2 linked regions of the Drosophila melanogaster genome follow. The protein of the gene in region 1 purifies or fractionates together with the protein of each later gene. This does not show direct contact. Each region holds a gene or a part of one and is shown in the gene's direction. Other genes may lie near its edges. The genes, in order: dgo and Vang.

Region 1 (6,196 bases):
AATGCAGCAGTTTAGTGCGCGGGAGAAGTATTTGGTGTCCAACACCTTAAATTGTTGGCCCGTGATGCTGCAGGGTCATTCCGTACTGATCGATCTGCACAACGAGACCTCTGTGGCCGGAATCATCGATGTAGCGGATGGACACATGACCTGCGAGCTCACCCATGCAGTTTTCATCGATCGCAATGGTGGTCAGCACCCCTTTGATCACTTTATGGTGCGGAATCGAATGATACGGCAGATCCACATACCTTCGTACTTGGATGCCGAGCAGGAACTTCGAAGCGCAATGGAACGGGGAGTCCTGCGAAGAAAGCGAGTGGAAACCAAGGGCGGAAAGCGGACATTCAAGCAAAAACGAGCGGAAGTGCGACACAAGGAAACATTGCAAATGATCTCACAGCAAAAAAAGAATAAGGAAACCTAAACTATTAATATATGCGTACTTGTTATATTTACCAAAAATACATTACATACATACAACTACATTTATAGTAATAAACCTATGAAAAGCAAAACAAATTAGCCCAATCAATTATACACAAAACATAGTCTCTAGCACGTTTATTTATTCCAAGAAATTCAAACGTATACAAACTGAATATCTTATATTCCCTTAATCAAAACTCTACTTAGCGGCCTGCTGCTTCAACTGCTCCTGGTACATGTAGTGCAGCTCCATGCAGTCGGTGTTGGAGATGTTTACCCAGCCGTCCTCCTTAATGTGATACACGCGAATGATACCACCGGAGTAGGCATCCCTGAAGGTGGCATGGTAGATGGCGCGACGTCCCAGCTCCTGGGCCTCCTTGTCCTCCAGGTCCCAATGATAGCCAGAGTCCAGGACACCGTAGGCGTACAGCGATCCACTACCAACAGAGAACAAATTGCCAGGCGTGCGAGATCCCTCGGAGTCCACATAGTAGAGGCCTGGACCACGCTTATCGTAACCGGCCAGCATCATGCCCATGCTCAGACCCATTCCCTTGTATTCGTGGGCAATGTTGGCCATTATCTTGCTGGCGGCGGCCACCGAGATGCGTTCCTTGTTTCGAAGCTCGTGAAGGCGGCATTCCTTCGAAAGGACCCTGTCCCAGTAAACGCAATCGGCTGCGCCACCGGCCAAGGTGCCCAGCATGAACTGATTGATCTCCACGATCTTCTTCATCGACTGGGAGCCAATGTACGATCCACCCGTGGCACGGGAATCGACTGCCAGGAGAACGCCGCCCTTGAACTTGAAGCCCAACGTTGTGGTGCCGTGATCGAAGTTGATTTTGACGCCGGTCTTGTCGCCATTGGCCTGGATCTGATTAAGGTTGTGCAGGGGCTGAGGAAATTGTCAAATTTTTTAGTAAATTTCCCAAGAAGATCAGCTAATTAACTACATACGTTCTCGAATGGCGGAGCAGCCAGTGTGTAGGGATTGGCCAGATTGCACATAAGCCCTTTTTGCTCTTCCTCCACATCCGCCGATGACCAGGCATTGGGCCGCATGTACGGAGCATTCGATATCTTGCAGATTTCAGCTAAAGCCATTCTTAAAGCTCCTTAAAAAACAATTGGAAACGTTGAATGCGAAATGCCGATGACAAACAAAATTCGTTGCCTACTTGTAGAGTGACCGTACTTCTGTTGGAGCAATAATGCAGACTATCGGCTTCACCGTTAGCTGTCGCAGGTACGGCAACCCAGCTCGAAACCTGTTGCCAATTTTGCCTGTGATTGGCTTTCTTTTAGTCTCTTTTTAGGCCTGGCTTGAAGCCAAATTAACTCTGGGCGTTCCATCAATCCATCAATGGCCAAATACTGCAAAGTCGGGTACTGAACAATAGTCGAAAGTAAACATGTGTAAATACGTGAGAGTGGCGAATTGCAATGCGTAAATTGCGGTCCAAAGACGGGATTTAAAATTAGTGAAAAGTAAGTCGGGAATCGAGAAAACCTAGGCGCACTTTAAACCTGGTTTTCAGGTCTAGAAATTTACTGTAATAGTGTTGAACATTTAAGAAACCATACATGTTTTATCAATGTGTTATAATGAAAGACATTTAATCTACCCTCAAAAAGGTTGTATTTCAAATTACGAGTCCTTTATTTGATCGCTTTTGGTAACTCCCACTTCTATTTGTAATGACAATTACTACGTGGTACGCCATTACGTGAGGCACACATACATGCGCATACACGGCTAGAAAATGTGCGATCGAAGATCAGATTCATTTGATCCCAGGTCAAGTTAAGCTCTTTCGTCGTCAACAAGGTTATATCAAAGAATACCATCTTTCATATGATTTTCGACATATAAACGATTCTAACGGTAATTACGGTACTTTAAGTAAGATTTTTCATTTATTAAAGACAAAATGTAGTTCTAATATAAATAATTTTTTTAATTTTATCTGGTTTTGATAAAGTGTTACTTAAAAAGTTATAATTGCAACACATCATGATAAATGAATGAAATTATAATTTAACAAATTTGATAAATAATGAATATTTTCGCAGACAATGCAGCATGGATCCTCCCGCATTCCGAAACAGGAAGCTCTCCCGAATGCGATATCCGGGGTAAGTAAGGGCACTTGCCTGAACCAACAAATCTTACACCGATGTAACTTCTTTTTCTGATTTAAGCCCGACTCCAGCAATTGGACTTCGCTGCACGAGGCGGTAGCCGCCGGAGATGATCGCCGGGTGGAGGGTCTCCTGTTCAGCAATGCTGATCGACTGGCCAGGGAATCCGTGCAGGGGAATACCCCGCTCCATGAGGCCGCCAGTCGGGGGTTCAGTCGCTGCGTGAAATTGATCTGCACGCCCCCCACGCCACCCGCTTCCTCGGGGGTGGGAAAAGCAGCAAAGGGACAGAAGGACAAAGACAAGGATAAGAACAAGGGCAGAGTGAAGGTGGCCCACCAGACCATCGAAGCCCTACACAATAGCGCCCTGGGTATTGCCAACAACGAAGGGTTGTCCGCCCTGCACTTGGCCGCTCAAAATGGTCACAATCAGAGCTCTAGGGAGCTACTGCTGGCCGGCGCCGATCCCGATGTCCGGAATAATGTAAGTGTTGGATCATATCAGTGATAACCATGTTTAACATGTTTAACAATTTCAGTATGGAGATACTCCGCTGCACACCGCCTGCAGATATGGACATGCAGGAGTCTCCCGGATCCTGCTCTCCGCCCTTTGCGATCCGAATAAAACAAATCTGAACGGCGACACCGCTTTGCACATCACCTGTGCCATGGGTCGCAGGAAGCTGACAAGGATTCTCCTAGAGGCAGATGCTCGGCTGGGCATTAAAAACGCACAAGGCGACTGCCCCATGCACATAGCGATCAGGAAGAACTACCGTGAAATCATCGAGATCCTGAACACGCCGAAGAAGATACGGAATCGCAAGGAGAAACCCAAGGAGGGCGGCAGCAGATCGGACAAGGACAGAGATCGTGAAAGGGATGTGGTGGACAAGGGTATCAACTGGTCACCCTATGGCTGTCACTACTTTCCCGATCCGCGTGCCTTTCCTTCACCAAAACTGGAGACACTGCCCAAGGAGCCACTTAAGTCGGGGGAGCAATACTTCCTGGATTTGGCTGGTCATATTCACAAGGGTCCGGTCAGCGTGGGCAACACATGCTATTGCGGTCCCTTCTTCCGTCACATTGAAAACAAACTAAATTGCAATCGAAAGAGTTTGAAGAAATACGTTCACAAAACCAAGGAACGTCTAGGTCACAAAGTTCAGGCATTGGCAATCAAGACGAACGATCAGATTGAACAGCTCACAAGAACGATGATCGAGGACAGATTGCGATGCGAGAGCAAGAGGCAGCACCTCAGTGAGTTCCTGCGACGAGGTGAACCTATGCGGTCCACCTTCGATCAGCAGAACAAGAGCTCAAGGATCGAAAGAACAATGTCCAGGTGCCGCAGTCTAGAGCTCTTGGAAAACAACCACGAAGGTGGTAGGCTCACCAACTCACGGAGTGTAGATGTCCTGGAAGATCAGGCAGTGGAGGCTATAGTACACCGATCAGCGGAGGTCCAGGTGGATAGCGACAGCGATGACGATTCCAATGAAGCTCGGGATGAAGAAGAGGCAGAAGTGGGTGACAAGGACCAGGTGCAAGAAGAGGCGGAACCAGAGGAGCACTCGAAGCTAGATGAACTTAAGCTAGATTTCCTAAAAGTCTCCGAAAGACTGGGAGTGCTTTTAGAGAAAACCACCCTGATCATGGAAAGGGACAGCGAACAGGAGAGCAAGCGCCAGCTTTCTTCCTTATCGCCACCTTATAATCCCCATCCAAGGGCGGAGTCTGCCCAACTTCGAGAAGATAAAGAGAGTGTTAATAGTCCCAATTTCGACGAGTACGCCAACGTGATACGACGCTATCCGAACTCCAGTGAGACCTCAAATCCCTCCCAGAACTCCAACAGCTGGGACTGGGAGGCATCACCCACGGGCAGCAATCCCCACCCGGATTACAATAAGTACTACCAGCGCATTGGGAGAGGAGAGAACATGCTGAACTCGGTGATCAAGGCGCTTCGAAAAGATGCCTCCTTCGCGGATCTGGGCAAAGAGGAGACGGCTGTCAATGAAACTGCCGAGGGAATGGGAGGCGACAAGCTGCTCTACAAGGAGCAAGCGAGCGAGGCGGCAGGTATCTCCAATCTGATGAAACGGCAGCCTCTTTGCTTGGAAGACAACTATCCCGTCATGTCGAATTTATTTTACTCCAATCCCATCATGGAGTACGCCGAGGAAACAGAAGTGCGTCAAAATGGCAATGAAAGTATGAGTAAGGTGGAGATTCGGAACAGTGAAATCAAGTGCCTAAAGAAGCCGAACGCTGGTCAGGTGAGGGATATGGTGGCCCAACTGCAAAACACCATTGACTCCAATCGACAGGACTCCCAGACGGCACATGTGATCGCCGCAAGATCACACTCCCGCTTGAACAATAACTTCCATCACTTGGAGGGCACCTCTTCGAACCCTTCGCCCACGTATAGTATTCCCCACCGGAGTAGCGCCCAGTTTGGGCTGCCCGAGAGACACATACCCAAAGATGCTTACTTCCATGAACTGCCCCACCGTCCACCGATTCCGCAAACTCCGCAGAGAAGGCTGCACTCCGGCTACGTACCAAATGCGAGTCTCTATCGCAGTGAAGATCTTTACGTGGGAAGGATTCCACATCCAAATGCTCCACCAAGACAAGTGGACTACGTGGATGCGGTAGCCTATAGGCCTCTGCAGTCCCCCACCTTTCAGGCCATTGTGCCGCCCCATGTTAATCAAAGGCCAAGGAACTGGCCTCATCCCAATCTTCCATCCAATGAAATCGATCTGGACGAGCTGTCTGCCGTTGGCCTCTACAACAATGTCTCGAGTCTAGTTTGAGTTCGGTAATCCCACAGCTGTTCCCATTGTACATAGCTAATCCCTACATATTTATCTTAATTGTAATCAAGTTTTAAACTACAAAGAAAAGTTAACTTATTTTCAACTGATGCATCTAATCTGGAGGGTCTAAAATATATAAATATAATACAAAGATATATGTACAATAATTTTGTTGTTTTTTGTTGAGGAGTTTTGGGTCTGAGTGTTTTCATATTCTGCGTAATTTATGAGAATATCGTGTACTTAATTATTTGGTTATTCCACTTTTGACCCCAAAAATACCCAAAATATTAAAAACGTTCCAACCTGCTCGCTTGTAAATCAAACGCAACCGAATGTTTTCGATCAAAATATATTTTTCTTTAAAAATGTTTAATAATAGTATTTATGCATGTGTAAATATCAGAATGTCAAGTACATATATTTATTGATAACAGATCATTTTGGTGTTTTGATAGACATGCGGCTTATGAACTCTGTATAATTGTGTAAACGAAATCAACCAGGAAATCATCTCAATAATCGAGCTCCGATGTTTGGTGGGAATTCAAAAAAACCAAATCCCCACCGCTGACAAAAGTAAACAAGTAAATTGGGCAACATTTTGATATCGTTCACCAATATGTCTGCGGTATTGTTAGTACAATTTTAGCAAGTGCCTAATGATGATTTCTCGATGTCTTCGTAGTTAATTTAAAATTCTATAAATGACACTGCTGCTGAACGGCGCCTGCTACTTAAATTTATCGGCCACTTAATAATATCTTAATTCTGAAT
Region 2 (5,923 bases), 1.7 Mb from region 1:
AACAGATGGCAAAATTGGAATCTTCTCGGAGTTATCAATATGAACTCCGAAAATGAGAACTTGCCATTGGCACAGCACTGTTTTATTCAGGCTGTAGTGCTGGAAAAAAAGTGCTACACAGCGTGGACCAATCTCGGAGTTCTCTATATTAAACTGAATGAAGTCCGATTGGCCAACGAGGCCTTTACGAGAGCCCAGCAATCAAGTCCCGTGTACGCCAACGCTTGGATTGGACAAGCAATGGTTGCGGAGTTGATTGGCGATCGCGAGGAAGCCTTTGATCTGTTTCGTCACTGCCAGCAGTTCGATTACCATCCGGAGGCGGCGCTTGGATTTGCGCATTGGGTGTGCGAAATGCTGTCGACTCCTGGATCTTTCGACAAGCCGCGCATAAAGCATGCCATCGAACACATGTACGCTGATGTGCTTGCGCTGGATGCCATCAATTGGTAAGTATTATAGTAATGCCCTATCTAAAACCAACTAAAGACTTGCAATACATTTAAGGTATGTGCAAAACGAGGAGACGGATGCGACACCAGCATCGCTGTCGTTCCAGGGATTTCTCTACGCCCGGAAAAACCTGTATCGCCAAGCAATCGAAGCCTTCACTCGGGCGTGTAAGTTGTGCGAACCTGGAGCGGATCGTGACAAGCTCTACACGAATCTGGGATACCTGTACTTAAAAATAGACCAGCCGGAGCAGGCGGCACACGCCCTAAACACGGTTGCACATGCCACATTTAAGCCGATCATTGGCCTGGCCCAGGCATATTATCTAGCCGGTCAGTTGCAGGAATCCTACTCTATTTACAACTCCGTTCTCGGCAACGTGGTTGATCATGGCGATGACAAAGCAGCTACCATCCTCGTGGCTATGGCATCCATGATTTACGACTTTCAGGGCGAAGCGGACACCAAAACCCTACTCTATCAGTGGTTGGTAGCGCAATATTTGTTTTGTTGATTCAACATTTCTAACGTTATAATCACCAAAAGTGTCTTGTTGAAGGAGGTCCCCATTCAGGCGTTGTTTTCAGCCCTTGCCCTAGGTATACTTCATAGAGATAATGCGTTGATCCATACGATACTGACGGAGCTGAATGCGTACGCCTTTAAGAAGGAGTATTGTGCCGACATATCCTATTTAACGGCTCACTACATCCTGATAAATGTTCGTTAAAAGTGGTGAATGTTGTGGTTCTACAAAAGTAATACTATGATTTTGTTTAGGAGGGTGCCCGAAGAGCGTTGTGCTATCTACAGACTCGCATACGAATGTTTCCCAATTCCCGAAGTCTGCGAAGTGTCGTGCTAAAGTTTCTTCTTGATTATTTCTCTGATGACCAATCCTATCGACTGGCTACTTCAAATATGGGTCGAATAACTCTTACTCTGGGACACACTAAGCAACAAAATAGGTAAGACTTGGGAATTTATATACATTGTATTATGATAGACTGAATTTGTTTATATTTAGCATCTTGGCCAGCGAAGAGGCACTGACCACTATATATGCCAGTCAGGCGGTTAGTGCAGTAGACAAAACCTGTTCTATGAAGTTGTTGCAGCGCGCCATACTGCTAAGCCCAACTGACCAGAGAGCCAGACAATTACTTTCCGCTATTATTGCAAATTCATGATATTGTCCAACAAAATAAACTTACTTTAAAATTTAAACTATCAGTTTGGCGGTTGAATTGCCAAACTGATAGTGTTTGAAAACACTAAATGCAATGTGACCGTGCTGCTGATTGTGTTGCGGTGGTCACACTGCGTCGGGGGTGAAGCCAAGTCCACGAAAAAGTGAATAAAAAGCGAAAAATGTGCGAGAAATAGTTAAATAGCGTATGAAATAGCCATGCAAGACACGAATAGTGACAATGTGCCGCAGAATTAGCCGCAGATAAAGCTCTAAATCGCCTATAGGCTATGCACTGCGCCCTGCATACCTGCGTATGAAAAACCTGCTGCCGCCGCAATTACAGTTAGACACTAAAATAGCTGCACGGCCAGGTTGCAAGGTGATTTGGGGCACGTCTCTTCGCGAGCAGGAGATTCGGAATCGGGCATAGCTCTCGCGCGCTAGCCCAATTGCAATGGAAAACGAATCCGTCAAGTCGGAACACAGTGGACGCTCCAGACGCTCGCGGAATCACAACAACAACGGCGGAGGGGGTGGCGGCGGAGGTGGTGGCGGAGGAGGCAGTGTCAACAACGGCTATCACAGGGAGCGGGACCGCTCCAGACATTCCCACCGCAGCACACACTCCTCGAAGTCGGCCAAGGGATTTCAACGTGGCGACATGGCACCGTACCAGACCAGCGTTAATATGACAGGTGAGTTTGTTTAATGGCTCTATCGGTGGAAGGAAACCAATTGACCCATTTATTATTTGGGCACCAGGAGACGGCAGCCACGATGGCCAGGAAGTCATCGAGGTGCAAATCCTTCCGCAGGACGAGAACTGGGGCGAGAATACTACCGCCGTCACGGGGAATACCTCGGAGCAAAGCATCTCAATGGAGGACATAAACAACATGTGGCATCGTGAGAGCGACAAGGGCTTCAGCTTTGCGTGCCGCCGATACGTGGAGTCGAGCTTCTACTTCCTGCTGGGATGCGGAGCGTTTTTTTCGCCAGTGGCAATGGTGGTGATGCCGTATGTGGGCTTCTTTCCGTCGGCCTTCGATCATCCGGAAATAACGCAAACTGTTCGCACCCAGCTGCTGGCCTGCAGTGAGCAGTGCAAGGGCCAACTGGTATCGCTGGCCGCCCGGCTGCTGCTTCTGGCCATCGGCCTGTGGGCAGTGTTCATGCGACGTACATCGGCCACCATGCCACGGATATTCCTATATCGCGCTCTCGTCCTCCTTCTCGTCACCATCTGCACGTTTGCTTACTGGCTCTTCTACATCGTGCAGGTCACAAACGGGGCCAAAATCGTTGTGGAGACGGGCGGCGATGCCGTGGACTACAAGTCACTGGTAGGCTATGCCACCAATTTTGTGGACACTCTTCTATTTATTCACTATGTGGCCGTGGTGTTACTAGAGCTGCGACACCAGCAGCCTTGCTACTACATCAAGATCATTCGCTCCCCGGACGGCGTTTCGCGCTCCTACATGTTGGGTCAGCTGAGCATCCAACGGGCGGCTGTGTGGGTGCTACAGCACTACTACGTGGATTTCCCCATATTTAACCCTTACCTGGAGCGCATCCCAATATCGGTCTCCAAATCGCAGCGAAACAAGATATCAAACAGTTTCAAGTACTACGAAGTGGATGGGGTGAGCAATTCGCAACAGCAAAGCCAGAGTCGAGCAGTTCTAGCAGCCAACGCGCGGCGCCGAGACTCCTCGCATAACGAGCGCTTTTACGAAGAGCACGAGTACGAACGTCGTGTGAAGAAACGGCGTGCCCGTCTTATAACCGCCGCCGAGGAGGCCTTCACCCACATCAAACGCATTCATAACGAACCGGCTCCGGCACTGCCGCTCGATCCGCAGGAGGCTGCCTCGGCGGTTTTTCCCTCGATGGCCAGGGCGCTGCAAAAATACTTACGGGTTACGCGTCAGCAGCCGCGGCATACCTTTGAGAGCATACTGAAACATCTGGCGCACTGCCTAAAGCATGATCTGTCGCCCCGCGCCTTCTTGGAACCCTACTTGACCGAGTCTCCGGTGATGCAGAGCGAGAAGGAGCGACGCTGGGTGCAGTCTTGGTCCCTGATCTGCGACGAGATCGTCTCTCGGCCAATTGGCAACGAATGCACGTTCCAGTTAATTCAGAACGATGTCTCCCTAATGGTAACCGTACACAAGCTGCCGCACTTCAACCTGGCCGAGGAGGTTGTGGATCCCAAAAGCAACAAATTTGTTCTTAAGTTGAACTCCGAAACATCCGTATGACACCACCACAACGCCCCTCCAATCAACACTCCCACTCATAGCAACCAGACGCAATCGTCCTACTTGCATGTGTTTGTCTGATTTTCCCAGCTACTAATTCACATATTCACATATTTTCTTTACTTCAGCCAAATCGATGACGTTCTTGTGAGAACTGCCATCAGGGTAATTGAATTCATTTTTATATATGCCTGAAACACCACAACCAATCAAACCAAGCAATCAAAATTACTTATCAATGAACAAGAGGAGCATTTTTAAATCGATCAAAACCCTGAATTTAAAAAAAAAAAGAAAAAAACATGGAAGTTTAGAAAGGAAAAGTTGTTGTGAGAACAAAATGTCTAGGCAGGCCTCAGCAGCTAAATTTTGATCTTGTAACAAATGATTATTAGATGAGAAGGCAACGTACTTATCAGTGCTAAACTTGAACTTATGACCCGAATATCAAGAAACAATGCTCAAAAGCCCAGTGTATCATCCTAAACCGACGCGAACATATCACACCCTTTGATAAGCAAACATGACTTACAAGTTCCCAAAGTATTAATTATAAGAATGATGGTTTGGCTTGCCGAACCGCGATCTTCAGATATCAACTCTTAAATGCAGCTCTTTTATACACGATTTTTATTTTAGTAAATATGTTTAGTGTAAAGTTGGGCTTACTCTTCGCGGAATATCTAAAATTTTACCCGATATCTGTGAGGCGTGAGCCCGATCGCTAGCCTTAAGAAGGAATGGAGTGAGCCAAGGCAAGCCCATGGAATTTTAGCTAGGACTCGGACTTGCGTCGAAAGTGCATTGGCCACTTTTGACGCGACTTAATAAGATTTTACATACGCACATTTTAAGCCGAAACCGAATGGTCCTAACTCTTCTGCCACAAAGTTGAGAAACGACGAAACAACTATAACTCGAATGCAACTGATGACAAATACATAATATAAGCGAAGACTGCCTGAATATGCATTTTATACACACAAATTGCCAACAGCCACTAGCAGGTGTATGTACTAGCCTGTGCATAGCAACCACATATATACAAAAACTCGTGTATTTTTAGAGACAAAATTATAGTGATAAGGACCCGAATTCGTATTCGAACATGTGTACGTTCCAGTGAACCCAATCTATATATACATACATATATGATATATACCTATTTACAAAACTACTTAGAAACGTTTGCTTGAGGTTTGATTTCATTTTCGTTTTCTAGCTAAATGTCTTCTGTCGAAGCTCTTTTATATTGCAATTATCTAGCAATTACTTAAAGCAATTGGAAAACCAACCTAAGCATACATACCATTTATACATACATTTACTCTCAAACTGTAACTGTTGTAATTGTAACTAGCATAAAAAACAAAATGCGTAAATAAATCAAACCCACTTCTTTAACAGCTTTAAACGAATTGTTCTATCTCGAAGGTGACGCAAATCGTGGAAATGCGCACGTAATTAATTCATTCTTGGGGGTCTTTTGAATGTCTGAAAGTTGCCTTATCAGCTCGGGATTAACAAACAGTTCCTATATTGATTATTGAGCCCAGCAGGTTTACCAAATCGCACTGAAGTATAATGTATGAGTAGATTTAATCGCAATCAATCAAGTTTCAAGTTCTTTGTGATACAAAGACTCGAATGCCTCTCGAATTTCTATGATAAGAGTAATAAGCTCAATTAATTCAAGTGGAGTGAGCACGATGGTCTCATTTCATAAGCTACTTAAATATCAAACTGAGGAAACCCATGATTTGGTGCCTGGTGGTGGATGGTGCGTTCGCTTTTATTTACATTATTTCATAAATACTAGCCAAATGTGAGTGGAATACTAACATATCAGATATCCTTTAAACAATAATAGGCAACAGCTTGCGCTGCTGTTGTTTTTTGGCTTGTGCGTCGTCAGTGCTGTTGGTATAGAACTTTCAATTTTAGACAGGTCTACGTGTTAGATCTTTCGTCCCAGTCGCCTAGCGTATCCGCTTAAAGGTGCATTCGGATT

Evidence for each region.
Region 2: the proteins of dgo (region 1) and Vang purify together in Drosophila melanogaster (affinity purification with western blotting; 2 studies listed by BioGRID). This does not show direct contact.

The regions. Positions count from the first base shown.
Region 1 is NT_033778.4:10,815,416-10,821,611, reverse strand, and holds dgo (diego), read left to right. Parts: upstream 1-1,727; 5' UTR 1,728-2,320; intron 2,321-2,508; 5' UTR 2,509-2,511; coding exon 2,512-2,571; intron 2,572-2,637; coding exon 2,638-3,063; intron 3,064-3,118; coding exon 3,119-5,416; 3' UTR 5,417-5,575; downstream 5,576-6,196. Other genes in the region: Lsm10, read left to right, coding at 2-427; Prosbeta5 (proteasome beta5 subunit), read right to left, coding at 629-1,330, 1,393-1,539.
Region 2 is NT_033778.4:9,101,477-9,107,399, forward strand, and holds Vang (Van gogh), read left to right. Parts: upstream 1-1,761; 5' UTR 1,762-2,099; coding exon 2,100-2,340; intron 2,341-2,407; coding exon 2,408-3,912; coding exon of another isoform or gene 3,913-3,993; 3' UTR 3,994-5,320; downstream 5,321-5,923. Other genes in the region: CG8777 (uncharacterized protein), read left to right, coding at 1-449, 508-939, 1,000-1,174, 1,234-1,421, 1,481-1,643; Pgm2a (phosphoglucomutase 2a), read right to left, coding at 5,922-5,923.